4 linked regions of the Anolis sagrei genome follow. The protein of the gene in region 4 interacts with the protein of the main gene of each other region in a pairwise test. Links are inferred from orthologs where the notes say so. Each region holds a gene or a part of one and is shown on either strand. Other genes may lie near its edges. The genes, in order: FOXA2, TK1, transcription cofactor HES-6-like and transducin-like enhancer protein 1.

Region 1 (7,047 bases), on a different chromosome or scaffold from region 4:
AGAATGCTTCTGGAACATAGCCATACAGCCCGGAAAACTTACAACCCAGTGATTCCCGCCATGAAAATCTTCGACAATACATTATTATTATTATTATTATTATTATTATTATTATTATAATATTGTTGTTCTTCCTGAACTATCAATATCTTTCCTAATCGGTTCTATCATAAAAACATAGGAAGAGCATATTAAATTGCAAAAACTTGTGTTTTTGCAGGACATCCTGCAGCACACCTTGGATTATTTTTCAATGAATACTCATTAGAGTCACAACCAATTCAGCCTAGATTGCGGCAGACACAAACCCGAAGTTTCTCGAGTATAACAACTGCTTTCCAAGTAAGTAGTGCCGTACAATAAAACAGGAAACAACACTCTAAAACCAGAAACAGAACCTTTTGCAAATTTTGTGACATAGTGATAATAATCAACAGCATTCGCAAGGCTTGCTTAAACAGCCTGTATGTGTCAGGAGCGACTTGAGAAACTACAAGTTGTTTCTGGTGTGAGATAATTGGCCGTCTGCAAGGACGTTGTCCAGGGGGTGTTTTACCATCCTGTGGGAGGCTTCTCTCATGTCCCCCCATTAGACGCTGGTGCTGACATACGGGAGCTCACCCTGCTCCCTGGTTCCGCAAGGGTTTATTTATTTATTTATTATGGACATTTATACCCTCTCCTATCTCAACCTCCGCAAAGGGATTGCGCCATGGGGGCTCCTGACTTTCTATTTGGTGAATCATAGCTGAAGCATTGTCTGCAGAGTTCACTACACAGCCTGCACGTCCAATTGGTGTGTACGGGTGGCATTCAGAAACCTTTTCCCTGTTGCCAAATTTTGGGTGATCCCAACACTGAGCGAAGGGGATCAGGAAACCCCAAACTAAAGCTGGCTCCAAAAGACAATGGCAGCATCTTTATATGAAGAGAAATTGGTTGTTCAATGTTTTTTGCTCTCCTAGCATAAGCCCTCCTAACATATTGAATAATGCAACTCTGAGATCTCAAGATTTAGAAACAACTTGTTTAAAAAACATTAGAAATTGTGATATGAATGGAAGTTTACATACCACAATATAACTTTATATCCTAGCTATGAAATATTTATAATGTTTCAGATTGTTTGTGTCGACACAAATTTTGTATGTCATGGTCAATATACTTCTCAGCCAAGCCTTTGGCTGAGAAGCCCCACAGAAATCGTCAACATTTCTGGATCTACACTGCCTATAATTCAGATGACCAAAACAGATAATCCACATTGTCTGGATTATATGAGTCTACACTGCTATATAATCCAGTTCCAAAGCAGATAAGGATTTTATATGGCAGTGTAGAAGGGCTCTCTCTCTCGATTAAATGCCAAAAGGTGCCTGGATCGTGTCCATAGTTAGCTTCTGGTCCGCAAAGGCACCTAATTGAGGCTGGTTCTCCATTGGCCAATAATGCAATTTAAATGATCAAGGTAGACCCATATATCTTGCAATTCAAACAGCATCATATAGTTCTACCCTGAGCATTTAATGTTCAAACTACATTATTGGTCAGAATCTATGGCTGGTATTATATGACAGTATAGGGTTGGATCTACACTGCAGATTAACGCCATTGAACTGGATTATCTAAAGCTACACTGCTATAGAATCCAGTTCAATGCAGTGAGTTAATCTGCATTCCGAAACGGCATTATATGGCAGCGTTCATCCAGAATGAAAGAAAGCGTGAAAGAATAGGACCTGGGTGTTAATCCCACCTAAGTGGGATTCCAGTTTTCTTAATAGCTTGGGTTCCCACTCTTCCCGTTTTAAATCTCAATTTTTTTTCAGTGGGAGGTCGCCTATTAAATGTTTAGGATCGAGATTGGGAAGATGGGGGGGGGGAGGGGGTAAAGGAATCAGATGGAAACATCAAAAGCTGGTTTATAGGTTTCGGAAGAAGCATTAGGGATCCCTAATGCACCTTGCTTAAGATCCCTAGGTTAAGATCCCTAATGCACCTTGCTAAGGAGAAAACACCTCACTACCTCTGCCATAGATGCAGGCGAAACGTCAGGAGAGAATGCCTCTAGAACATGGCCATATAGCCCGCAAAAACCTACAACCTAAAAAACAGGTTGACCGGGAAGGAAGGGCATCTGAGACCAATGGGACTTCTTTCCCATGTGTTTAGAATTGGAGAAGGAAACGGAAGCTGCAGTTTTTCCAGCTGGACTAGGAGAGTCTACTCTTCCCAAGTGTGTAATGTTAGCACAGCGAGCCGGATCTAAGACGGCAAGTTGCCTTCCGATGTGCCTTTCTATCCACTGGGTTGGAGGATTGGGTTTCAAACCGAAGTGGAAGTGGCGTGAAACTTTTCCGCCAGGATGTTGGAAAATGTAGGATATCGGGCAAAAGTCCTTGTGGGGCGAAGGAGAAAGTTCAGGTGGGAAGTGTTCCCCTTCCACCTTGATGACTTCCCCGCTCGAGGTTGGCCATCCTCCCTCGTCCCCCCGCTTTCCCCGTTTCCTTCTACCTCCCCCCATGCCCTTCCTCCCCCCCCCCCCCCCCATCCCCAAACCCAACCTCTCTGTCTGCCAAACACAACTTTGTTAGGATAGCGCGGCTAGGCATGGCAAAAGGATTTGGAGGCTTCGCAAGTCAATATTTGATCACAAAGTTAATATTATCTCAAGGCTAACACCGCGTTGTATAAAAAGCGGGCGAGGGAGAGCGGCGGCGAGGGAGTCCTGTGTGTTTTTTTCCGCAGGAGGAGGCGGCTTGGGGATTGGGTGGGGGACCCACACACAAACACACACAGAGAGAGAGACCCACAGAGAGAGAGAGAGAGAGAGAGAGAGGCACATCCGCGCGCAAACAAGACCCGCGTTGCCATTTACCTCGGGCTCGCCGTAGTAGTTGCTCCACTCCGCGTGCTCGTGTCCTTCCATTTTCACGACTCCCAGCATACTGGAAGCGGAGTGCATGGCAGTTTAAAATTTAACAGCCACAACAAGCGGCGACGGAGGGGGAGAGAGAGGGAGAGAGAGAGAGCGCCACCAAAAAAAAGAGGGAGAGAGAGGGAGAGAGAGGAAAACAGCCCCCTCCCTCTTTGCCTCCCTCCCTCCTTTTCCCTCTCTCTCTCTCTCCCTCCCTTCCTTGCTCCCTCCCTCGATCTGGGGGGAAAAGAGGGGGGCGAACTCGCTCAGCTTTGGGGGTTCTCCCTGCTGGCGATTTCGACGCCTTGCTGCTGCCGCTTCGGCTACTGCTTGGGTGGGTTTCGCCGGGAAGAGTCGCCCAGAGCCGAAGGCAAAGGCGAGGAGGAGAAGGGAGGGAGGAGGAGGAGGAGGAAGAGGAGGAGGAGGAGGAACCCAAGTGCTGCAGTGACGTGGGCGCCGGAGAGATATAGCGGCCGGCGGCCAAGCGAGCCTCCAATCCCCAGGTCCTCACCCAGCCATTTGAATAAGCAGCAGATCCCCGCCTGCCTTGGGATTCCCTCGCCCCCCTTTCCCCTTTCCCCTCTTCTGTGGGCCCTTCCCAACAAGCCTAGGTCTCAGAATATCAAAATTCCACAAGATTTGTCTTGAAATGGGTTATCTGAGTCCACACTGCCATATATTCCAGTATTGTGGGAGACACCAAATTGGGAGGGATAGCCCGTACTCCAGAAGGCAGCAGCAGAATTCAAAACGATTTTAACAGATTAGAGCAGGCGTCCACAAACTTTTTAAACAGAGGGCCAGGTCACAGTTCCTCAAACTGTTGGAGGGCCGGATTATAATTTGAAAAAAACGAACGAGTTCCTATGCACACTGCACATATCTGATTTGTAGTGCAAAAAACACTTAAAAACAATACAATAATTAAAATGAAGAACTATTTTAACAAATACCTATAAACTTATTAGTATTTCAATGGGAAGTGTGGGCTTGCTTTTGGCTGATGAGATAGAGTTGTTGTTGTTGTTGTTGTGTGTTTTCAAGTAGTTTCAGACTTGAAAACACACAACCCTGAGCAAGGGCCAGGTAAATTACCTTGGAGGGCCTTGGAGGGCCATATCCGCTCCCTCCCCTTAGTTTGAGAACCCCTGGATTAGAGAGATGATTGGCCAAAACTAAGAAAATGAAGTTCAACAGTGACAAATGCAAGATACTCCACTTAGGCAGAAAAAATGAAATGTAAAGATACAGAATGGGGGACTCTGGTGTGAAAAAGATCTTGGGAGTCCTCATGGACAACAAATGAAACTTGAGCCAACAATGTGATGCTGCCGCAAAAAAACCAATGGGATTTTGGCCTGCATCAATAGGAGTCTAGTGCCAAGATCCAGGGAAGTCATGCTACCCCTCTATTCTACCTTGGTCAGACCACACCTGGAATATTGTGTCCAATTCTGGGCACCATATGTGGACAAGCTGGAATGTGTCCAGAGGAGGGCGACTAAGAATGATCAAGGGTCTGGATAATGTGGGATTTCCTGCCTTGATATTCTGGAACATAGGGATGTATGTAAGGGCCCTAAGAGCCTTAGGTCCCTTCCCAGTCCTGACCCCACAGTTTAATTTTCAATGTTCAGGTCCCAAGAACATTTGGCAATTGTCAAACTTTTCTCAATTGTCACCTAGTGGCTGTTTTAGGCACTGGCATGAATCCCTTGTGCTGTGTTTCCAGTGGACTCTGCAGCAGATGCTTGAGCTGTACTTCATAAAAAGGAAACCGGCCTGTTTAGTAAGCCTTGCAAATACTATCGTCAATGTTAGGGTTTTATATATCTATATATTCCTATATATATATATTCCTATACCTATTTATATATCTATATATTCCCTGGGGTCACATAAACATTTCTTGGTGTCCAGAGTGGAAAAGTTGAAGAAGTCCTGAGCTAAGAGATTTTCAAGGCTGACAGAGACCCCTTCTACACTGCCATATAATTCAGGGCCCTTCCAGACAGGCCCTATATCCCTGGATCGGATCCCAAGTTTTCTGTTATCCCAGATTATCTGGCAGCGTGGACTCATATAAAGCTGAAAATCTAGGATTGGATCCTGGGATATAGTGCCTTCTGCAAGGACCCTCAGATTTTCAAGGCAAATAATCCGGATTATCGGTTTTGCACTGGAACAGTGCTAAACAGAACCGCCTTCCATCTGGAAACCATTGTATTCACTGTGGAAGAACACGCAGGTCTAGAATAGGTCTCCACAGTCACCTATGGACCCACGCCACAACCCTATGCTTGGAAGTCCATCCTACTCAGACTCGCAGTTATCCCCAATGATGATGATTATGACTACCATATAATTCAGTTCAAATCAGATTGTCTGGATTTTATATGGGGCCAGAGATTCAAACCCAGGGCTCCTGGGACTAACACTCAAACCACTAACTCTCCAGTACAGTACAGGGTGTGTTGACCCCGATCTACAACAGGGTTTTGTTGGCCAGGTTTATTCAAAGCAGGTTTATCCTTGGGGTTGAGAGAATATAATTTGCCCAAGGTTGCCCAGTGGGTTTCTATGGCTAACTTTCCTCCTCATAGTCCAACACTCAAGCTTCTACGCCACACTGTTTCCCTGTAAAAGTGAAGATAAAGGAGTTGTGGGTGCACTTTTCCTACTTATTCAGACACTTTGAAGTAGTAGACTCAGGGCCCTTCCTCTTTCAGGCTTGATCTGAGCCCTTGCAAATGCTATGGCTTGTACTAAGTTAATTGTGAAGGAAGCTGGTTGATATCACCAGCATCATGAGTCCCAATTTACTCCTTTAAAATAACTGATGCCCCCCCCCCCCTTCCAGACAGGCCCTATATCCCAGGATCTGATCCCAGGTTTTCTATTTATCCCAGATTATCTGGCAGTGCGGACTCATATAATCCGGTTTAAAGCAGAAAACCTGGGATGGGATCCTAGGATATAGGGCCTGTCTGGAAGGCGGCTATCAGTTACTTTAAAAGGGTTAATTTGATGCTCATGATGTTGGTGATGTCAACCAGCTCCTTTCCCAATTAACTTATTACAAGCCATAGCATTTGCAAGTGCTCAGATCAGGCCTGAAAGAGGAGGGAGGGAGGGAGGGAGGAACATTGACTTTTTTCTTTCAATATAAAATAATAAACTCTGAAGAGACCTGGGAAAGTGCAGCTCACTACCCAGAGCCAGCATGCCTCACAGAGGAACAATTGATAATAATCACACTAAAAACACAGTACTGTGGCAGCTTCAAATACATTGTGTGTGTGTGCTTTCAAGTCACCCATCTGTTTAAGTGAATTCTATAGGGTTTTAAATACTCAGAGGCGGTTTGGCCAGGTCCTTCCACTGAAATGGAGCCGGCTCTTTGAAAAGTTGGGCATAAACTTTTCAGATGTGCGAAGGGCTCCGTGCTTCGGTTTCAAGAGCTTTGGGAAAATCCCATGTCTTGAAGATGCTGTTTTTGCGGCTCTCTCTCCGCCCCACCTCCTGGAAATGGTATGACTCTATCAGAATAATTACCCACCATTGTCTTCAGGATGCCTCTTCATCACACTAGAGAATAAATCAATTTAAAATCCGGTTGCTGCCTCCTGCAGAATTCTGGGATTTGTAGTTTAGGAAGGAGCCTTTAACAGCCTCACTAGACTACACACCCCAGAATTCTGCAGGAGGTAGAAACCGGATTTAAAGTGGATTCATTCTATAGTTTGATGAAGTTCTAAAAACCGTCTTCGGTGCGAGATAGGGGAGGAGAGAGTAGCGTGGACGCGGATTATTCGATAGAAGATAATAGGTACTGGTTCTGGGGATGACCAGCCAGTTAGTCGAGAAACCTGAATGGAGCCTCTATGTCCAAGAGCAGCATACCTGGGTGGTTGCTCTGGCAATGCTTTGGGCAACCTCTAGGACAGGGCTACTGAACCTTTTCCACTCCTGACCCCTTTTAAGTGACCCCAGGTATATAAAATAGGTATAACATTCAACATTAATGCTAACAGTAAGTAATATTTTTCCTAGTTCCAACAGACCTCACTACCATTGAGGATGCTTGCCATAGATGCAGGCGAAATGTCAGGAGAGAATGCCTCTAGACC
Region 2 (7,086 bases), about 99 Mb from region 4:
ATATACCTTCACACACTGGAAATTGCACTAAAAAGAACCTATGCTTTAAAATCATTGAAAAGTCATTCATGATATATGTAATTTTAGATTTTATTTAGTCTCACTCTTATTGATGATAGTTTTCATAAAGTGTTTGCAGTTTTGAGCAGAAGATCCTCATCCTTATTGATTACAGGCTAATGATAAATAGAAGTGGGTTCATCCGAACCAGGAAAAACTTGGAAAGCTGTGCAAGTTAATTAACAGTTTTCATAGAATCATAGAATCATAGAATCAAAGAGTTGGAGGAGACCTCAGGGGCCATCCAGTCCAACCCCCTGCCAAGAAGCAGGTATATTGCATTCAAATCACCCCTGACAGATGGCCATCCAGCCTCTGCTTAAAAGCCTCCAAAGAAGGAGCCTCCACCACACTCCGGGGCAGAGAGTTCCACTGCTGAACGGCTCTCACAGTCAGGAAGTTCTTCCTCATGTTCAGATGGAATCTCCTTTCTTGTAGTTTGAAGCCATTGTTCCACGTCCTAGTCTCCAGGGAAGCAGAAAACAAGCTTGCTCCCTCCTCCCTGTGGCTTCCTCTCACATATTTATACATGGCTATCATATCCCCCTTTATTTGGTTTCTAAACAGGAATGCAACTGGCCACCAATTAAAAGGATGCAAAGCTTATGAAAAAAATTGCAATTGGACTATTAATTGGAACAGTAAATATATGTATTGTTTGTGTTTTATAGTTTTTAAGGAGTGCAATAATAATAATAATAATAATAATAATAATACATGACTGGTAAAGAACAATTGCTCTAACACAAATGAAAGCAATATATGGTATAAAGTGTAAGATTTATTGTATAAAGGGTATAGAAAAAATAAGGATGAAATGATGTTTTGAATCAGATCAACCAAGTGATAGAAGGAAAGACACAGAATACAACGGATGAAGAATATTGAGCTTCAAATAGAGAAGTACAGCTTTGGTACATGGGATTACTGCCGGATTGCAATTAAGTATATTTGACCAGCTGAATCATTCCTTGGTTGCTTTAATGAAAGCTAAAAATGAAACCTTACAACAAATAAGTAAGTCTATGAGTTGTTTGACTATGGAAATAAATTTGAGAGATTGGAGAGAAAAATGTTGATGTTAATAATGGGAGGACACTCAGAAGCCTTCCTAGAATTAACAAAATTACATTATTGGTTAAGAACAGATTATAAAGGATGGAGTAAGCTTGTCAAATATTCTTGGGAAGATGATATACTAAGATTGAAACTGGAAACCTTGGGAAAAATGGTCAATATTTGAAAAAAATTTGGTTTGTGATATAGTTCCTATGCCTATGCATGTGGGAAAATGGTTCTGGGTTCCATATTTGTTATCCAAGAAAACCATATGCACAAGGTCCAAATATACAAATTTGAATGAAATAATTGATATTGATAGATGCAATAAATGGGATATGTATGTCCTTTAACAGTAAAACAAGTTGAACCATGTGCATTGGAAATGGCAGATGCAATCTGCAGGTTACAAAAGCTAAAGCCCAAAACAATGGTATATGACAATGGAATGTAATGCCTATGTGCTATATCACCTAATGATTTATATTGGTGGAAACACAGAACACCACTGGTATGATATCTTCATAGGATACATTTAATAGTATGGATAGGGATACTTATATTGCTGCCAATCATTTGGATCTTATGGCCTCTTAGACAAATGACAGGATTGACAAATCGATTATCTATATTTGAAAACAAGTTAACGTGTTTAGAAACACATTTATGAACTATGATGTTTGATTAATCATACAAGTTCAATATTAACCTAAACATATGTACTCTACACTTAATCAAGTTTGATTATAAGTATAACCAACACTGAATTGCTTATCATGTATGGATCATGTATGTGATACGATAAATTAGCATTTATGTATCAAGGGGAGGAATATGTGAGGAATGAATGTTTGAATGCATGGAAAAGAGAAGAAACAGGCCTGAAGAAAAACCAACATGGAGTTCTCGCAAGGCATGATATGGGATGAACTTGGCAGTCGAAGCGAGGAGGCAGCAAGGCATAACTGAACAACAATGGACAATGAGGTATGCGGCCGAGCATGTAAGGAGTGCAGGAGGTACCCCATAAGTCATGAGGCCTGGAATGCTAATGTCTTGAACTTTGGAGAGAACAAAGACATATTGTCCTTTAGTAAGAGGACAGAGCAACCTGCTGTTGAAATGAAGAAAAATGGATTTTGGCCTATAAATGCAGGGGACCCCTGACAATCTCCATGCTTCCTGAACTGCAGCAATGGAGTGTCCACGCTTCCTCAGAAAAGACTGATCATCTTTGCCGGAGAAGGCCTGTGTGTGCATGAGTATGAATGAATGTGTGTGTGCACGAGAGCTCTCCTTGATGTATTTTCCCATCATCATGAAGATGTGTGATAAGTTCACCACAAGTGCGGTTCCCACTTCGTGGCAATTGGTGGTGATTACAAGAATGCTGGGGTATCATAAAAATGTTATAACTAGATATTGATCTTGCTTCAGCTTCTGTATGATCAGCTTTCGCAAAAAAAAAAATAATGGAGGAGTGAAGGGGCTAACAGAACTCAGAAATGTTGAAATTCTAAAATGCAAACCTAGAGAGGGGTTTGTGCCTCTCCTCTGGCCTGCAGAAGACCAAAAGCTAAGAGGAGATAATGAATCTGGAAGACACAAGATACTGTATTGTCAAGTTCGCCTAGAGAGTACTCAGGGTGGGTTAACACCCAAAATGCTTATCTGTAACAATAATGTGTGTGTTTACGTAGTTTGTAGAAGGTTAGCAGTGAAAGACACTGAAGTGGCAAAATATGAGAAAAACATGTTTTTGAATGGTTGATCCGATAAGAGAGGTGTGTGCCCATGACACAGTGAAAAGACATGTATATAAGGAGACTGAAATATCCAAATATCAGAGACAGCTCTCTTTGAAGACACTGGTCTGTCTGGGCTGTTTCTCCCTGTGTGGCCACACTTGAAATAAAGAGATTTTCTGCTTTACCTCTGGAGACTAGACTCTCTTCATTTTGCTGCCCTCTGTGACGGACTCAGCAAGGACCCCAAGCAGGGGGTCCCCTACATGAATATTTCAGCTGACCACCTTTATTAGCATTTAATGGCTTGGAAGTGCCTGGGGGGAATCTTTTGTTGAGAGTGATTTGATGTGCCTGGTTGTTTACTCTCTGCTGTTTTGCTGTTGTAATTTTTGAGTTTTTTAATACTGGTAGCCAGATTTTGTTCATTTTCATGGTTTCTTCCTTTCTGTTGAAATTGTCCACATGCTTGTGGATTTCAATGGCTTATCTGTGTAGTCTGTGTAGCACTTCCAAGCCATTCAATGCCAATCAAGTTGAAACATTCAGTTGAAACATTCACACCTAGCTCCAGCAGACAAAAGTCCTTTGTCCCACCCTGGTCTTTCCACAGATATATAAACCCAGTTTAGTATTTTCAACAGACCTCACTACCTCTGAGGATGCTTGCCATAGATGCAGGCGAAACGTCAGGAGAAAATGCCTCTAGAACATGGCCATATAATCCGGAAAAACCTACAACAACCCAGTGATTCCGGCCATGAAAGCCTTCGACAATACATTTTAGGCTTTGAACCCACTTTAATATTTTTTTTCGTGTGAGGAGCGACTTGAGAAACTGCAAACCACTTTAACTACTAAGGAATAGTGTGATTTGTAGTTTGGCAGGAAAGGCTAAGGCCTTGGAAAACTACAGCTCCCAGGATTCCATGGTATTGAGCCGGGGGTCAAGCTGTTTCATTCTATGAAGATGAAAGTCTCCGCAAACAAAGGAGAAAATGACGTTTTGATAAGACCAAAGAGTTTCAAAAGACTAGTTCCGGAAGTGTGTGTGTATGCCTCTTCCCCAATCAGCAAAACATGAGAGGAGGAAGACTTCCCTCTTTAGCTTCTGGAGGCGAAGGCGGTCAACCACTTCGAATGTAGTTTTTTCCCGCCTGGCCTGTGATTGGCCAGGACGCGCCGAAGTGTCTTTCGAGCGCCAGTTTGGTGCCAGGGCCCGTTCTGATTGGTCCATTGTCAGCGCCGGCTATAAAAGAGGGCAAAAACGGCGCGCTGAAAGGAGAGGCTGTTGATTCAAGCGTCTGTGCCTTGAAACACCGGCGGGATTTGGGAAGATGAACTGCTTGATGATGCCAGGGGTGCAGCCGGGGTCGCCTCGCAAGGCCCGGGGCCAGATCCAGGTAGGAAAAGGAGATATTTCTGGGGAGGGCAGGGGGGTCAATGAGAGTTTGGGATGCAGGGTCTGCAATTATGGGTCAGGGGCTTTATAGACAATGGAGTGGGGAAATTGTGTCCTTTATATAACGTTGGGAAAATCAAGGCATCCTTTTTTTGTGACTGGTTTTATATTTTCAAGCCGTGGATGGGGAAATCAGTGGATACAGAAACCGTGGATAAGGAGGACCAACTAATACACGAACGGGGTAAAATTCAACACGGTTTTTTTCTCTCTTTCCCCACTTTAGGTCATCTTTGGACCCATGTTCTCCGGGAAAAGGTATGTTAGAGAGATGAAATGAACATGTATCTGAACACAACTGTGACTTGGGTTCTGGTTTCATTACATGTTCAAGTACTATCAATTACATTTACTAGTGTTCTCATGATAATCCCTCAGGCTGGATCTACACTGCCATCTAATGCAGTTTGGAATTTCATTGCATGGTCAATATATACCAGGCATGGGCAAACTTTGACCCTCCAGGTGTTTTGGACTTCAACTCCCACAATTCCTAACAGCCAGTAGGCTGTTAGGAATTGTGGGAGTTGAAGTCCAAACTACCTGGAGGGTCAAAGTTTGCCCATGCCTAGTATAGACCCAAATAATGTGGTTTAACTACATTAAACTGCATTGTATGGTTCTATTCTGATCATATAATGTAGATCCAGCCTCAGTGAGCTTTAACTGTGAATTCCTGCACAGCAGAAGTTGGACTAGATAGTTCTTGCCTGCACTTTCATAAAATGCCACAGAAGGTGGTAAAGTCCAGGTTTTTTGGATTACAGCTCCCTATATTCCTGATAGGAGCATTGGGAATGGAAGTTCAAACTGTTGTCGAAGGCTTTCATGGACGGAATCACTGGGTTGCTGTGAGTTTTCTAGCCACGTTCCAGAAGCATACTCTTCTGATGTTTCACCTGCATTTATGGCAAGCACCCTCATTGGTTGTAAGGTCTGTTGGAAATTTGGCAAGTGGGGTTTATATATCTAGAATAATGTTCAGAGTTGGAGAAAGAACGCCTGTCTGTTGGAGGCAAGTGTGAATGTTGCAATTGGCTACCTTGATTTGCACTGAATGGCCTTTCAGCTTCAAAGCCTGGCTGCTTACTGCCTGGGGGAGCCTTTGTTGGGAGGTGTTAGCTGGAATTCCTGCCTGGTATTCCCCTGCTTTGTAGGTGTTGCTCTTTATTTGCTGTCCTGATTTTAGAGTTTTTTTAAAAATTTTCATAGTTTCCTCCACTCTAACGACCACCATGTCAGGCTACACAGAGAAGCTGCTGAAATTCAGTAACAGGTGGACAATTTCAACAGAAAGGAGGAAACCATGCAAATGAAAAAAAAATCTGGCTAACTATACTTAAAAACTCCAAAATCAGGGCAGTAGATAAAGAAGAACACTAACAAAAGAGGGGAATTCCAGATAAGATTCAATCAGGGTGAGGTAACACCTCCAAGTGAGGCAAGTGTGAATGTTGCAATTGGCCACCTTGATTAGCATTACATAGCCTTGCAGCCTCAAGGCCTGGCAGGAAGCAGCCTTGAGGCTGCAATGCTATTTAATGCTAATCAAGGTGGCCAATTGCAATATTCACACTTGCGCAAGCAGACAAGGGTTCTTTCTCCCACCCGGGACATTATTCTGCAGATATATAAACCCCACTTGCCTAGTTTCCAACAGACTTCACAACTTCTGAGAATGCCTGTCATAGATGTGGGTGAAATGTCAGGAGAGAATGCTTCTGGAACATGGCCGTATGGCCAGGAAAACTCACAGCAACCCAGAAGTTCAAACTATTTGGAGGAAACTGATATGGGAAAGGCAAGTCTATAAACTGGCTGTGATATAGAAACCTAGGCAAAAAGGAACCAAAGCATATCTTGATGGATTATATATTTGTTAAGATATGTGCCAGAGTGTGTTTTGAGCCACACTTGGTGGCATCTTTGTTCCCAGGAAGGTCAGCCATGACTCTACTTTTATTTCACTGGCTATGCACTTTCTTTCCTGTAATGCAGGGACAGGTAACTGGTGTCCTTTATATTTGGTTATTTTGGACTAAAACTCCCCAAATTCCTTACTGCTGGGTAGGCTGATGGAAACTGTAAGGAAAGGGGGGAAACCAGAAAATAGCAATAATTGCCTATCTTTCTTATAAAGCTGGGATTGGACTGTGTGCCTGGACTCACATGTTCAGAGTCCAGGCACAGGTAAACTTGGGCCTTCCAGGTGTTTTGGACCAACTTCCACAATTCTTAAAGGCTGTTAGGCTGTTAGGAATTGTGGGAGTTGAAGTCCAAAACACCTGGAGGGCCCAAGTTTGCCCATGCCTTGTCCAGACCTATAATGTTGCTGTTTCTCTGATGGTAAAATTGTAAGGAATGCCGTTAATCAAAGGGCCTGGCAGGGAGATCGATTTGGGGAGATAGCAGGCATTATGGGTTTTTTGAGGCAGGGTGATCAAAGTCACTAGTTTTGTGCTTCAGTCCTCCTCCTCTGGGTGCTAAGTACTCCTGAGTAGCCTCCCTTCTTGTTTTTGCAGTACCGAACTCATGCGCAGAGTCCGACGTTTCCAGATTGCGCAGTACAAGTGCCTGTTGATCAAGTACGCGAAGGACATGCGCTACAGTGTCAATGGAGTTTCCACGCATGACAGGTGAGGCGCTAAAGGCATTGTATATACAGTTCACCTTAACAGAAAGAAAATTCAAATGTAATTCTTTTTGCTTGATCAAAAAACAACCGTGGGTACAAAATACATGTATGTTGTTCTATGTCAT
Region 3 (7,082 bases), on a different chromosome or scaffold from region 4:
CATGCATATGGGACATATTGAGCATGGTGATCAGATCATGATATGAATAAACATAACAGTTTAATTAATGTACCAGTAAGGCCTTCTTGCGGACCACCCTGAGAATTTGGGGGGAGGGGGGCTGGAGCCCCTCAAGCCCCCCCCCCCCCCAGCTACATGCCTGATTATATATGCAAATTGGAAAATCCCAGATCTTCATAGGATACTGCTATGCACGAATGTAGCCTAATTGTCTTTCTTGCTGTTCTATAACTCATGACTTCGTACGTCCCAGGGCATTAATGACAATGAGTGTGCCATTGTTGAGAAACAATCATGTATCTCCCTATAAAAGAGTAGAAAGAGCGCTTTTCAGAGGGGAGAAATGATATTTATTCATAGGAACAAATACACACAACCCTCTTTCCCCCTGGGATATTTCTAGAGGGGAAACAATGCTGGTTTGGTTTTTTTGAAAATTTGAAAGAGAACTTCCCACAAAGAGCAGCAATTTAATTTTTTAACTGCTGCAGTAAAAGAAGAGTGAACTCTAGGAAGAGCTTGCTTTCTAAGCATTCATGGGTCATGTTAATGGACTCTGTGAATGCAGTGTTCAATGGGCTCTTCATGATGCATTCAAAACAGCTTTTGACTGTGCCAGTTTTCTATTCAGGAACATGGCATGATGTAGTGGTTTGAGTGTTGTACTGGGATTCTGCCAGACCAGGATTCAAATCCCCTTTTGGCCATGGAAGCCCATTGGATAACCATAGGGAAGTCATACTCTCTCAACCTCAAAGAGAGACAAAGGCAACCCCCTTCTAAATGGATTCTACCAGGGAATTCCCATGATACGGTTCACTTTAGGAGTACCATAATTGAGAAATTATATGAATCATAGAATCATAAAGTTGGAAGAGACCTTATGGGCCATCCAGTTCAACTCCCTTGCCAAGAAGCAGGAACATTGCATTCAAAGCACTCCTGAGAGATGACCATCCAGCCTCTGTTTAAAAGTTTCCAAAGAAGGAAACCACACTCTGGCAGAGAGTTCCCCTGCTGAACGGCTCTCACAGTCAGGAAGTTCTTCCAAATGTTCAGATGGAATCTCCTTTCTTGTAGTTTGAAGCCATTGTTCTGCATCCTAGTCTCCAGGGAAGCAGAAAACAAGCTTGCTCCCTCCTCCCTATGACATGCCGTCACATATTTATACATGGCCCTCATCATGTCTCCTCTCAGCCTTCTCTTCTTCAGGCTAAACATGCCCAGCTCTTTAAGCCGCTCCTCATATGGCTTGTTCTCCAGATCCTTGATTATTTTAGTTGCCCTCTTCTGGACGCATTCTAGCTTGTCAACATCTCCCTTCAACTGTGGTTCCCAGAATTACTGATACACTGATATCAGTGTATCAGTAGTATACTGATATTGCCACTTGTATGATGGAACAGAAGAAAAATGGAGTGTGACCAAAGATAATGTGAAAAATTGGACACATTCCAGCTTGTCAATATTGGACACAATATTCCAGGTGTGAAGATACACAGCAACAGTACAGCAATATACTATTACTTTTACACATTCATGCTTTCACTGTTTGAGAACGAAAATAGCCCAAGATCTCAAATAGGTACTTGCCCCTGCTGAACGCCTACAGAACAGGAATGCACAAACTTGGGCCCTCCAAGTGCTTTGGACTTCAACTCTCACTAAGGAAAGGGCCTGAGGCTGTTAGAAATCGTGGGAGTTGAAATCCAAAGCATCTGGAAGACCCAAGTTTGCCCATGTCTTGTATAGACTATAATTGCATTTTTAAATGAAAACAGATTAAGAAATGTCAGTACAGTGACTAAAAAAGGCCCTAAAACAAACAGGAATGTTGTGGCTAGGTTTGTTCAGAGGGAGGTTGCCCCTGCCTTCCTCTGAGAGAGTGTGACTTGCCTGAGGTCACCCAGTACGTTTTCACAGCAAGCAGGAATTTAAACCCTGGTCTCCAGAGACACAGTCCAATACTGATGTTGGCTTTCTTTTGATCATGATCCCTTTTCGGGATGACATATAACAGGGAGTTTCCTTTTCTTTTGAGGCTGAAAGAGTATGGCTTGCCCAAGGTCATCCAGTGTCTTTGCATGGTGGAGTGAATTTCAACCTTACTCTCCAGTTCTTCTATGTCAACTGAGAAAATTAAAGCAGTTTAACACCACTTCAACTGCAAGTCACTTCTAGAAGGTTCAGGAAGTTTCATCTACGCTGACGATTCCATCACTGCTCAAGCAGAGAGTTTTGAAATGGTTGAACAGAAGCTCTCTGAAGCTTTAGGTGGTCTTACTGCCTATCACAGGGAAAACCAGCTGATTACTAATCCATGTAAAGCATCTTGATCTCTGTGGATTACCTGGGAAGGAATCCCACTGGAACACTGCAGCACACCCAAATACCTGGGAGTTACTTTGGACCATGCTCTGACTTATAAGAAGCAGTGCTTGAATATCAAGCAGAAAGTGGGTGCTAGAAATAATATTGTAAGAAAACTGATTGGCACAACCTGGGGATCACAAACAGATACAGTGAAGACACCTGCCCTTGCGCTTTGCTACTCTGCTGCTGAATACGCATACCCAATGTGGAATACATCGCACCACATTAAAGCAGTGGATGTGGCTTTTAATAAGACATGCCGCATTATCACAGGATGTCTACGTCCCACAACACTGGAGAAATTATACTATTTAGCCAGTATTGCACCACCTGGTATCTGCCGGGAAGTAGAAGCCAGCAATGAAAGGACCAAGGCAGTGACATCTCCAGACCATCCTCTGTTTGGGTATCAGCCAAGGTGATAACCTGCATTAATTCTACAATAGATGCACCCCTAATTTGGCTTGCTGTGAGTTTTCCGGGCTGTATGGCCATGTTCCAGAAGCATTCTCTCTTGAAGTTTCACCCACATTCTATGCCAGACACCCTCAGAGGTTGTAAGGTCTGTTGGAAATTAGACAAGTGGGGTTTATATATCTGTGGAATGTCTAGGGCGAGTGTTTTTTTTGAGGCAAGTGTGAATGTTGCAATTGGCTAGCTTGATTAGCACTGAATAACCTTGCAGCTTCAAAGCCTGGTTGTGCTTGCCTGAGCTCAATTGTTTACCATGTCAGGCTATTGGCTGTATGTATGGTGGGATACAAAGATTAAGTTATCATCATCATCATCATCATCATCAATCAGGGCCAGCTAACACTTCCCAGGAGCCCCTGGTGGCACAGTGGGTTAAACCACTGACCTACTGAACTTGCTTACCGAAAGGGGTGGGGTGAGCTCCTGCTGTTAGCCCAACTTCTACCAACCTAGCAGTTCAAAAACATGCAAATATGAGATCAATAGGTACTGTTCCGGTGAGATAACGACGCTCCATGCACTCATGGCAGCTACATGACCTTGGAGGCATCTGCGGACAACTCCAGCTCTTCGGCTTAGAAATAGAGATGAGCACCCCCCTCTCCCCCAGAGTCGGATACGACTGGTCCTAATGTCAGGGGGAAACCATTGCCCCTAACACCTCCCAACTAAGGATCCCTAGCTAGACTTTGAAGCTACAAGGCTATTAAATGCTAATTAAGGCGGCCAATTGCAACAGTCACACTTGCCTCAAGCAGACAAGAGTTCTTTCTCCCACCTTGGATATAAACCCCACTTGCCTAGTTTCCAACAGACCTCTCAGCCTCTGAGGATGCTTGCCATAGAGGTGGGCAAAACGTCAGGAGAGAATGCTTCTGGAATATGGCCATACAGCCCGGAAAACTCACAGCAACCTAGTGATTCCGGCCATGAAAGCCTTCGACAATACAAACCCTTATTTTTTGTTTATAGAAAGCGTAAGGGCAATCCAGGCAGTCATGCCGGCCACATGATCTTGGAGGTGTCTATGGACAACGCCGGCTCTGAAACGGAGATGAGCAGCACCAACCCCTAGAGTCGGACACGACTGGACTTAATGTCAGGGGAAAACCTTTACCTTTACCTAGAAAGGGTAAGATGGCACGGTATTTCCTTCCCTACTCAAGCCCCTCTTAGTCTTCCTCCTCCTCCCAAGCCTCTCCGAACGCCCTAAGCAGACAAAGCGCCGGGCTCCCATTGGAGGATCCTCCCAACGTTCGGTGCGCCGCGTCCAATAGACTCATTGATATGCAAATCAGAGCTGATAAATACGGCTTGCAGGGGTTGGAAAAAAAAGAGGGGCGGGGAGTAAGCTGGAGGCGAGCCGAGGAAAAAAGGAGCCTCTTTGCGGACGGCCTCCCACTCTCCCCGCCCATTGCCGTCATTACTACGCTCCGCTCTCCGGATTTGGGTTTTTTCCCCCTTCTTTTTTGGCCGCACTGTCGCCCGAGCCCCGCTTTCGGACCATGACGCCCTCGTTTCGGCCCAGCAAGAGCCGGGAGGAAGAGGAGGAGGAGGATGTGGAGAGGAGAGGAGACAGAAGGGTGAGCAGGCAGAGAAAGGGAGAGAGAGGGGTTTGGAGGGGCGCCTTGCCTGTCCCACCGTCCACCATTGGGGTGTCACTTGCCTGTGTTGACTCTCCTCTGTCCCATCTTTCCAGGCGAGGAAGCCGCTGGTGGAGAAGAAGCGCCGGGCGCGGATCAACGAGAGCCTCCAAGAACTCCGGTTGATCTTGGCGGATACGGAGGTATGGCCCTTGAACAGAGGGAGGGGGGGCAACTTGGGGCCTTCCAGGTGTTTTGGACTCCAACTCCCACCATTCCTGACAGCCTCAGGCTCATTCCTTTTGCCCCTCAGCCGCTTAAGAATGTTAGAATGTTGAGACTGGCCAATCAGAAATCACATGCTAATTAGTAGGTAGAGATAGCTCATGCATGGGCCAACTTCGGCCCTCCAGTGTTTTGGACTCCAACTCCCACCATTCCTGACAGCCTCAGGACCTTTCCATTTGCCCCTCAGCCACTTAAGAATGTTGAGGCTACCCAGTCAGAAACCATATGTAAATTAGTAGTTCGAGATAGTTCATGCATGGACCAACTTAGGGCCTTCCAGTTTTAGAATGTTGAGGCTGGCCAATTAGAAACCATATGCAAATTAGTAGGTCGAGATAGCTCATGCATGGGCCAACTTGGGCCCTCTAGGTGTTTTGGACTCCAACTCCTATCATTCCTAACAGCCTCAGGCTCATTCCTTTTGCCCCTCAGCCGTGTAAAAATGTTAGAATGTTGAGGCTGGCCAATCGGAAACCATATGCAAATTAGTAGGTAGAGATAGCTCATGCATGGGCAATCCTGAGCCCTCCAGATGTTTTGGACTCCAACTCCCACCATTCCTGACAGCCTCAGGCTCTTTCCTTTCCCCCCTCAGCCACTTAAGAATGTTAGAATGTTAAGGCTGGCTAATCGGAAACCATATGCAAATTAGTAGGTAGAGATAGTTCATGCATGGGCCAACTTAGGGCCTTCCAGTTTTAGAATGTTGAGGCTAGCCAATTAGAAACCATATGCAAATTAGTAGGTTGCGATACCTCGTGCACGGGCCAACTTCAGCCCTCCAGGTGTTTTGGACTCCAACTCCCACCATTCCTGACAGCCTCAGGCTCATTCCTTTTCCCCCTCAGTCACTTAAGAATGTTAGAATATTGAGGCTGGCAAATAGAAACCATATTTGGCGGGAAAGAGAGAGGGGGCCTTCTCTGTGGTAGCCCCTCGGCTATGGAACACCCTTCCTGTGGATATTAGATCGTGTTTTATATGCTAATCTTTTTAATTGTATTTATATGTTGGGGGGCATTGAATTGTGCCGAATGTAAACTGCCTTGAGTCGTCTTCGGGTTGGGAAAGCGGTATATAAATACAGTTAATAAATCTATATAAATAAAAATGTAATGTTCGTTTATGGGATACCTCAAAAACCACTGGATGAATTGACACCAAATTTGGACACAATACACCTATCAGGCCAACAAGAGACCATCACTCATAAAAACACTGAAAAACACAGCAGAAGAGACTTACAAAGCCAAAAAACCCAATACAGCGCATGCACAAAACCACATATATACACAGGCACACATATATACACAAATATATATACACACATATATATGCATATATACACACACAAAATACATATTCATGGACTAGGCCACAGCAACGAGTGGCAGGGGACAGCTAGTAAAAAACAAATATGCAAATTAGTAGGTAGAGATAGCTCATGCATGGGCCAACTTGGACCCTCCAGGTGTTTTGGACTTCAACTCCCACCATTCATGACAACCTCAGGCTCCTTCCTTTTCCCCTTCAGCCGCTTAAACTGGTGGGTGTTGAAGTCCAAAACACCTGGAGGGCCCCAAGTTAGCCCATGCCTTGTTTAGTGGGTGGCAAAGGAAAGGGGCTTTGATGGGTCTGGGGAGGAGGAGGATCACACTGCCCTTCTGTCTGTCTTTCTCTCTCTCTTCCCAATCTTAGTTCCAGGCCAAGATGGAAAACGCCGAAGTGCTGGAGCTGACGGTGAAGCGGGTGCAAGGCATTCTGCAGCAGAGCAGGTCTCCAGGTGAGAGATGTCTCTATTGCCCGGCTTTCAAGGCTGGAATCACCGTGTTGCTATGAGTTTTCTGGGCTGTATGGCTATGTTCCTTAGAGGCATCATCTCCTGATATTTCGCCCACATCTATGGCAGGCATCCTCAGAGGTTGAGAGGTCTGTTGGAAGCTAGGCAAGTGGGATTTATATATCTTTGGATTAATGTCCAGGGTGGGAGAAAGAACTCTTGTCTGGTTGAGGCAAGTGTGAATGTTGCAATTGGCTACCTTAATTAGCATTTAATGGCCTTGTAGCTTCAAAGCCTAGCTGGGGATCCTTTGTTGGGAGGTGTTAGGTAAAGGTAAAGGCTTTTCCCTGACATTAGGACCAGTCGTGTCAACTCTGGAGGGTGGTGCTCATCTCCATTTCTAAGCTGAAGAGCTGGCATCCATAGACACCTCCAAGGTCATGTGGCCGGCATGACTGCATGGAGCGTTGTTACCTTCCCACCGGAGCGGTAGCTATTGATCTCCCATTTGCATGTTTTCGAACTGCTAGGTTGGCAGAAGCTGGGGCAAATAGCAGGAGCTC
Region 4 (7,562 bases):
CTGTTTTTACAATCTCTTCTGAAGCCCTAATGAAGTGCAGGGACAGGAATGTGGTGGCTTGATGGCACCATAGCAAATCTTCTCTGAAAGGGGAGGACAGGATTCCAATAATGATTGGAGTGCAAGTCCCAGCATTCCCATTGCAGGCAAAGGACAATGGGAGCTCTGGAGTCATTCCTGCCCTGGCCTATCTACACTGTATAATTAGTGCAGTTTAACAGCCATGGCTTTGTATTATGGAATCTTGGGATATGTAGTTTGGTGAGGTACCAGCACTTGTTGGCAGAGAAGGCTAAATGCCTGTAAAACTACAGCTCTCATGATTTCACAGCACCGAGCCATGGCAGTTAACATGGTGTTAAACTGCATTCATTCTATCTCAAAATGCATTCATTCTACAGTATAGACGCACCCTAAGACTTTGTTTACCTTTGCAAGTTCTTCAAGGGGTGGGAGGATCAACACAGCGCCTGGACAGGGAAGCTTACAAAGGATGAGTCAGTCTGCACTGAGATTTAATTTTAATCCCTTAAAAGATAGTCCTTTAAAAGATAATCCCTTTTAAAGAAAACAAGGCCATGGACTAGTTAAGAATCTCTGACGAGGTCGTCTGCCTGAATATTCGAGAAATGTAGTTTCTTGTTTCTTCAGAGTTAATAATAATAATAATAATAATTATTTATTTATTCCCTGCCACCATCTCCCAAAAAGGGACTCACGATGGGTTACAAGCACACAATGGTGCCATACAACATATAAAATACAATATAGCAAAATTAAAACCAGCAACACATTTAAAACGAAACATATAAAAATAACAAGATCAATAGAATCAATAAAATATAGCAATGGTCATTAATTAAAAGATCCATACAGCCAATTTAGCCTTCCCTGGTAAAAGATCGTGGTCTGGCTGCAATCTTAAAAATAGGCCTAATACTATACAACTGCTGAAAACTCTATGTTGACGATATTAATATTGAAATATAGCAAAGAAAGAAAGAAAGACAAATACAGTACAGACAAACTGAATGTTAGCACACTTTTACAGTAACATACATACATACATGCATTTTAATGTTTATTTAAAGTGTGATTTCTTCTATTTTTTGTCACTTGCTTAAAAGTTCAGATTGAGAGTACTGGTTAGCTGAGAGTATGCGAGCATTTGTATTATAAATACGAGTGTGTGTGTTTATGTGTACATGTATATATGTGTGTATGGACCCCCTGGTGCCGCAGTGGGTTAAACCACTGAGCTGCTGAACTTGCTGACCAGAAGGTTGGCTGTTTGAATTTGGGGAGCAGGGTGAGCTCTCGCTGTTAGGCCCGGCTTCTGCCAACCTGATTTCTTCTCTTTCCCTTAGATCCATACGAACTCTTAAAAGACTCCAGCAGCTGCAGTGATCCTTAGATCTGTGAACACTTTCAATCAGTCCTTTGTTTAATAGCAAACAATTGCTCATGTAGCTATTTAAAAGTTATTATTATGCAGAATATTTAGCTATTACTGAAATAAGCATGATCTCTGAATTATGACCTTCTATTCTGTATGAAGGGGCTATGGTGGTGCAGCAGGTTAAACTGCTAAGCTGCAGAACTTGCTGACCAAAAAGTCAGTGGTTCAAATTCAGGACGGGATGAGCTCCCGCTATTAGGCCCAGCTTCTGCCAACCTAGCAGTTCTAAAACATCCAAATGTGAGTAGATCAATAGGTACCACTTCAGCAGGAAGGTAATGGTGCTCCATGCAGTCATGCTAGCCACATGACCTTGGAGGTGTCTACAGACAACTCTGGCTCTCCGGATTAGAAATGGAGATGCGCACCACTCCAAAGGGTAAAGGGGAAACCTTTACTCTCTCTCTCTCTCTACACACACACACACACACACACACATATACACATATACACATACACACTCCTACCTGGATAGTTTGAATCATGTGTTGTGTTCATTGTATTTTAATCTCTGCTCTGTGTATTTTTAATATTGGCATTTTGCAGAAATACATTTTAATATGTGTATTTTATATAATGTTTGTGATGATTATGTGTTTTTAGCTATGTTGTAGCCCACCTTGAGCCACGAGGAGAGGTGGATAAGTAATAAAATGGTGATGATAATGATTATTATAATTATATGGGATGTTAGGTTAGATCAGACATAGGCAAACTTCAACCCTCCACATGTTTTGGACCTGCTGTTAGGAATTGTGGGAGTCAAAGTCCAAAACACCTGGAGGGCTGAAGTTTGCCCATGCCTGGTGTATATGTATGTACAGTAGAGTACATTATTATAGTATCATTATTACAAGATTAAAGTGGTGGTCAGTAGCCAGTCCTAGTTCACAACACATTGGTTGCCAGTCTGTGGCAAAGGACTAGAGAAAAAGAAACCCAAAATGCAACAACAATAATACAGTAGCAACCTGTACTACCTTTTCATGAAGGATTAGTTGAATCAGCCCTGGAAGACCCAAAAGAATATATTTCCAACAAGATACCCTCAAGCAAAGCAGCACATACAGTAGAGTCTTGCTTATCCCACGTAAATGGACCAGCTGAACGCTGGATAAGCGAAAACGTTGGATAATAAGGAGGGATTAAGGAAATGCCTATTAAACATCAAATTACATCAAGATTTTACAATTTAAGCACCAAAACATCATGTTTTGCAACAAATGGACAGAAAAGGCAGTTCAATATATGGTAATATTATGGAGTAATGGCTGTATTTATAAATTTAGCACCAAAACATTGCAATGTTTTGAAACAGCGGTGGATCCGGGTGGGAGGCAGACTGCGTTTTATTTATTTATTTCCTATATTTATACCCCACCCTATATTTATATCCCCCCGAAGGGATAATACAGAACGTTGGATGAGCGAAGGTTGGATAAGCGAGACTCTACTGCAACTGTTCTCAAATGAGCTTGTTCAATTATCAGGAATTCTGGGAGTTGAAGGCTCAAACAGTTGGAGGGCCGCAGTTTTTAGGAGGAGCCTCCCCAGAATAATGATCCCATTGCACTTTGTCCGCCAAAGCACTTAATATTTTTTAGGTCTGCTTGTATGTTTTCCACAAACGCCCCATCACTTTTTGCGCCCATATTCCAGCATTATTTTCAATTTTAATTTTACATTTGGCCTTCCCATCGTTTTTAATCGTGTGGTCTTATTGTTAATGTTGCATTATTGTATTGTCCATGTTTTTTATTTTAATTGCTTGTATTGTTGTTATTATTGCTTGTATTGTTGTATTTGGGCTTGGCCTCATGTAAGCCGCACCGAGTCCCTTGGGGAGATGGTAGTGGGGTACAAATAAAGTGTTATTATTATTATTAGTTTGAGGATGCCTGCTCCCAGGCATGTGGGGGGGGGGGGGGGGGCCTCAGGGGGCTTCAGCCCCCCCCCCCCCCCGGAAATTCTCATGGTGGTTCGCAAAAAGGCCTTACTGGTGCATTATTTAAACTGTTATGTTTATTGATATCATGATCTGATCACCATACTCAATATATCCCATATGCATGGGGGTACTGAAGTAACGATACAAAAGGTTTGCTAGGGTAGACCCTCTTTCACTCAGACTCAGCCTGAAAAAAATTCAGCCCCCCCCCCCCCCCCACGAAATCCTGGCTACGGGCCTGCCTGCTCCACTATATATATATATATATATATATATATATATATATATATATAATGAAAGTATATATAAATGTATAGGTAAAGGTATTCCCCTGACATTAAGTCCAGTCATGTCCGACTCTGGGATGCGCTGCTCATCTCCATTTCTAAGCCGAAGAGCCTGCGTTGTCCATAGACACCTCCAAGGACATGTGGCCAGCATGACTGCTTGGACCGCCGTTATAAATATAAATGTGTTCACAGAGAGAGATATATATGTAAACGGGGCCTCATTCCTCTTGGTGGCCCTCTGGTTCCTTCTGACAAACGGAAGGGGAATCTCTTCTGCCTCCTTTCGTCCTTCCATCCGCTTAAACAGGGCAGCCTCCACCTGGCTCCTCCAGCCCTTGCCTGTCCTGGACCAGGGATGCATTATTTATCTCCCTGTGTTATTTCCACAGATTTCGAGAGAGAGAGAGAGAGAGGGAGCCGGGCAAGGTAAAGGAATAATAATAATAAAAGAGAAAGCGGGGCGGAGGTGGAGGGGAGGAGGAGGAGAGCCCCATATAGTCATCTCTTTCTCTCTCCTTCTCCTTCTTTCTCTCTCACTGCCCCACGTTACTTTGATTGACACCTCCGCCTCGCCACTCTCCTTCTCCCCGACCTTCCCCTGTCTGAGCGTTCCACCGCCTCCCATTGGCTCGCTCGGAGGGGTCCTGCCGCTCAGCCTCGCTCAGCCTCGAAAGCCTTCCTCGGAAAAGGAGGAGGGGCGGGGACAGAGTCGGGGCGAAGGGGGCGGCGTTGAGTTGCCAAAGCGGCCCTCTCATTGGTGTCCCGTCACAGCCCCACGTTGGTACCCGAGCACCCCATTGGCTGCGATCCGCTTTCGGGGCGGGGCCGAGGAGCCTGGTTAGCTCGAGGAGTGTGAAACCGCGTGTTAATGTAACCAGCGCGGGCGGAGGAGACGTTGGGTGCCGTTTATTGAGTTGCGTTGTCCCGCGGAGTTCTTGCTCTCCCTCCCTCCCTCCCCTCCCCCCTTTTGTCCTTTTCTATTATTTCGGATCTATTTCGTATCTGATTCCCTTGCTTTGGATGTGTGTTTCCGAGGGAACGAACTTGAGGGAAAGAAGAAGAAGGAGACGAGAGAGAGGAGCGGCCCGACGGGGATGAGGCGGCTTCTGCTCCTGCTGCTGCTGCGGCGCCTTTCTCTCCTCGCTTTGGGATAATAACCCCAGTGTGGCCTCGGCCTTGCCTTGGACGGCGCGGGGCTTTTGTTTGGTGGTTTGGAGCCGTGTTGGGAGATCCTCCATATTTGATTCCTTCGGGGAAAGAAAGAAAACAAAACAGCCTCGCTTTTCGTCCCGTTTCCTGGCTTGTTAAGTTGGAGCCGAAGGCAAGGCAAGAGAGAAGGAAAGAAGGAAGGAAGGCCGCGTCTCGCTCTCTCCGGGTTCGAAGCCCGCTCTGGGCCTCTTTTCCCCTCTTGAAGGAAGGAAGGAAGGAACAAAGGCGCCGGGAGGATGCGGAGCCGCAGAGGCTGAGCGCCAGGGCTTCGCTTCGGGCCTGAAAACTTCGGAAGGAGGAGGAGGACTTGGGGAGCTGCCTTTCCCCCACAGCCATGTTCCCCCAAAGCCGGCACCCCGTAAGTGGCCCCCGCTCTCCCCACCAACACGCGTGTCTTCTCTATAATGTAACGTATATCCTAACTACCCTTTACCTCTGGGATGGTGATGGTGGTGACTGATCATAATATTATTGTGCGGGCAATGCTTCCCGTAGAAATGGATAAGCGCGCATGAACCTTGGAAACTTCAATCCCTTTGAAACATTATGGGTCCTCCCTCCAGGGAGTTTTGGACTCGGCCGAGGGGGAAAAGGAAGGGGCCTGAGGCTGTTAGGAATGGTGGGAGTTGGAGTCAAAAACTCCTGGAGGGAGGGCCCAAGTTGGACCATGCCTGGTGTAGATGTGCCCCGAGAAAACTACAACTCCCGGGATCCCAAGCTGCATTCACAGTGTAGAATGATTCACCCATTGGGATACTAAAATATCCCTCAACTAGTGTGTGTGTGTGTGTATCACCCATTGGGATACTAAAATACCCCCAAACTAGTGTGAGATATATATATATATATATATATATATATATATATATATATATATTATATGTATATATATGTATGTATGTGTATATGTATATATGTATAGTATGTGTGTGTATCACCCATTGGGATACTAAAATACCCCCCAAAGTAGTGTGCATATATATATTACCCAAACTAGTGTGTGTGATATATATATAGTATAAATATCAGGCATGGACAGCATTCATAGAATCATAGAGTTGGAAGAGACCTCATGGGCCATCCAGTCCAACCCCGTGCCTAGAAGCAGGAATATTGCATTCAAAGCACCCCTGACAGATGGCCATACAGCCTCTACAGTGTGGAATGATTCACCCATTGGGTTACTAAAATGCCCCTCAACTAGTGTGTGTGTATAGTATATATATGGTGTGTGTGTGTATATATATATAAGGCATGGGCTTCATTCACTCTACAGTGTAGAATCAGTCACCCATTGTGATACTAAAATACCCCCAAACTAGTTTGTGTGTGTGCGCGCGTGTGTGTATAGAGAGAGACAGAGAGGGAGTGTACATACATTATCAGTCATGGGCTACATTCACTCTATAGTATAATGACTCACCCATTGGGATACATACTAAAATATCCCCCAAACTAGTGTGTCTCTGCATGTGTACAGATAGAATACACACATAGTATATATATCAGGCATGGGCCAGTTTGGGCCCTTGGTGTGTTTTGGACTTCAACTCCCACAATTCCTAACAGCCTCAGGCCCTTTCCTTTTCCCCCTCAGCCGCTTAAGCAAGTGGGGTTTATCATCTATCTATCTGTCTATTTGTGGAATAATGTCTAGGGTGCTTAAGCGGCTGAGGTGGAGATAAGAAATGGGCCTGAGACTGTTAGGAATGGTGGAAGTTTGAGTCCAAAACCCCTGGAGAGTCCAAGTTGCTCCAAGTTGGCATATGCTATGGCATTATATAGATGTGGTATTGGAGCAGGTCACTCGAATGCTTAATATTTGGTTGGGAATTGTTTGGTGGGGGGATTTTGAAACATTGGACTGCTGAGAGATCTTGGAGGTGGGACCCAAAGCCTGAACATGAAATTAATTGCTGTTCCATACATATGCACTTAGTCTGAAGTTACTTTTCTATGCAGTGTTTTGTATTTTAAAATGGAGGTAATTTTCTATACAATATTTTTTGTGCATGGAACAAAGTTTGGGTATGCCCGAGGCACCCAGAAGCAAAGGTGTCTGTCACTCAAGACACCCGTGGGATGTTTTTGGAGTTTGGAGCATTTCGGATTTTCTAACAAGGGATTCTCAATCTCTATAACATTTACTCTTCCAAATAACAACGACAACAACAAATCTTTATTTATATCCTGTTTTTCTCCCTCACGGGACCCAAAGTGGCTTACAACATATTACAACGTATAAATGCATTTACTTCGCCTTTAAACAAGCACTTTAGTTGCTGTGATGTCGAAGGCTTTCATGGCTGGGATCACTGGGTTGCTGTGGGTTTTCCAGGCTGTAGGTCCATGTTTCCGGAAGCATTCTTTCCTGACTATTCCAAGGCTATTCAGTGCTAATCAAGGTGGCCAATTGCAACATGCACACTTGCCTCCATAAGATGAGAGTTCTTTTCTCCCACCCTGGACATTACTCCACAGATATATAAACCCCACTTGCCTTGTTTCCAACAAAGCTCACAACAAGCTCACAACCTCTGAGGATGCCTGCCATAGATGCAGGCAAAACGTCAGGAGAGAATGCTTCTGGAACATGGCCATGCAGCCCGGAAAACTCACAGCAACCCACTGTAGCTGCTGTTCCACAAAAATGTAT

What was found.
Region 1: the proteins of transducin-like enhancer protein 1 (region 4) and FOXA2 interact in a two-hybrid assay, tested with the Homo sapiens proteins (2 studies listed by BioGRID and IntAct). The link is inferred for Anolis sagrei from reciprocal best matches to the Homo sapiens genes TLE1 and FOXA2.
Region 2: the proteins of transducin-like enhancer protein 1 (region 4) and TK1 interact in a two-hybrid assay, tested with the Homo sapiens proteins (2 studies listed by BioGRID and IntAct). The link is inferred for Anolis sagrei from reciprocal best matches to the Homo sapiens genes TLE1 and TK1.
Region 3: the proteins of transducin-like enhancer protein 1 (region 4) and transcription cofactor HES-6-like interact in binary tests that used the Homo sapiens proteins (3 or more experiments, as listed by UniProt). The link is inferred for Anolis sagrei from reciprocal best matches to the Homo sapiens genes TLE1 and HES6.

The regions. Positions count from the first base shown.
Region 1 is NC_090024.1:140,313,618-140,320,664, forward strand, and holds the start of FOXA2 (hepatocyte nuclear factor 3-beta), read right to left. Parts: upstream 3,025-7,047; 5' UTR 2,966-3,024; coding exon 2,879-2,965; intron 1-2,878. UniProt on the Homo sapiens protein: Transcription factor that is involved in embryonic development, establishment of tissue-specific gene expression and regulation of gene expression in differentiated tissues.
Region 2 is NC_090022.1:128,418,836-128,425,921, reverse strand, and holds the start of TK1 (thymidine kinase, cytosolic), read left to right. Parts: upstream 1-4,069; 5' UTR 4,070-4,201; coding exon 4,202-4,267; intron 4,268-4,552; coding exon 4,553-4,584; intron 4,585-6,848; coding exon 6,849-6,962; intron 6,963-7,086. UniProt on the Homo sapiens protein: Cell-cycle-regulated enzyme of importance in nucleotide metabolism. Catalyzes the first enzymatic step in the salvage pathway converting thymidine into thymidine monophosphate.
Region 3 is NC_090023.1:229,029,153-229,036,234, forward strand, and holds the start of transcription cofactor HES-6-like, read left to right. Parts: upstream 1-4,063; 5' UTR 4,064-4,373; coding exon 4,374-4,451; intron 4,452-4,567; coding exon 4,568-4,654; intron 4,655-6,437; coding exon 6,438-6,522; intron 6,523-7,082. UniProt on the Homo sapiens protein: Does not bind DNA itself but suppresses both HES1-mediated N box-dependent transcriptional repression and binding of HES1 to E box sequences.
Region 4 is NC_090022.1:227,808,697-227,816,258, reverse strand, and holds the start of transducin-like enhancer protein 1, read left to right. Parts: upstream 1-4,540; 5' UTR 4,541-5,240; coding exon 5,241-5,312; intron 5,313-7,562. UniProt on the Homo sapiens protein: Transcriptional corepressor that binds to a number of transcription factors. Inhibits NF-kappa-B-regulated gene expression. Inhibits the transcriptional activation mediated by FOXA2, and by CTNNB1 and TCF family members in Wnt signaling.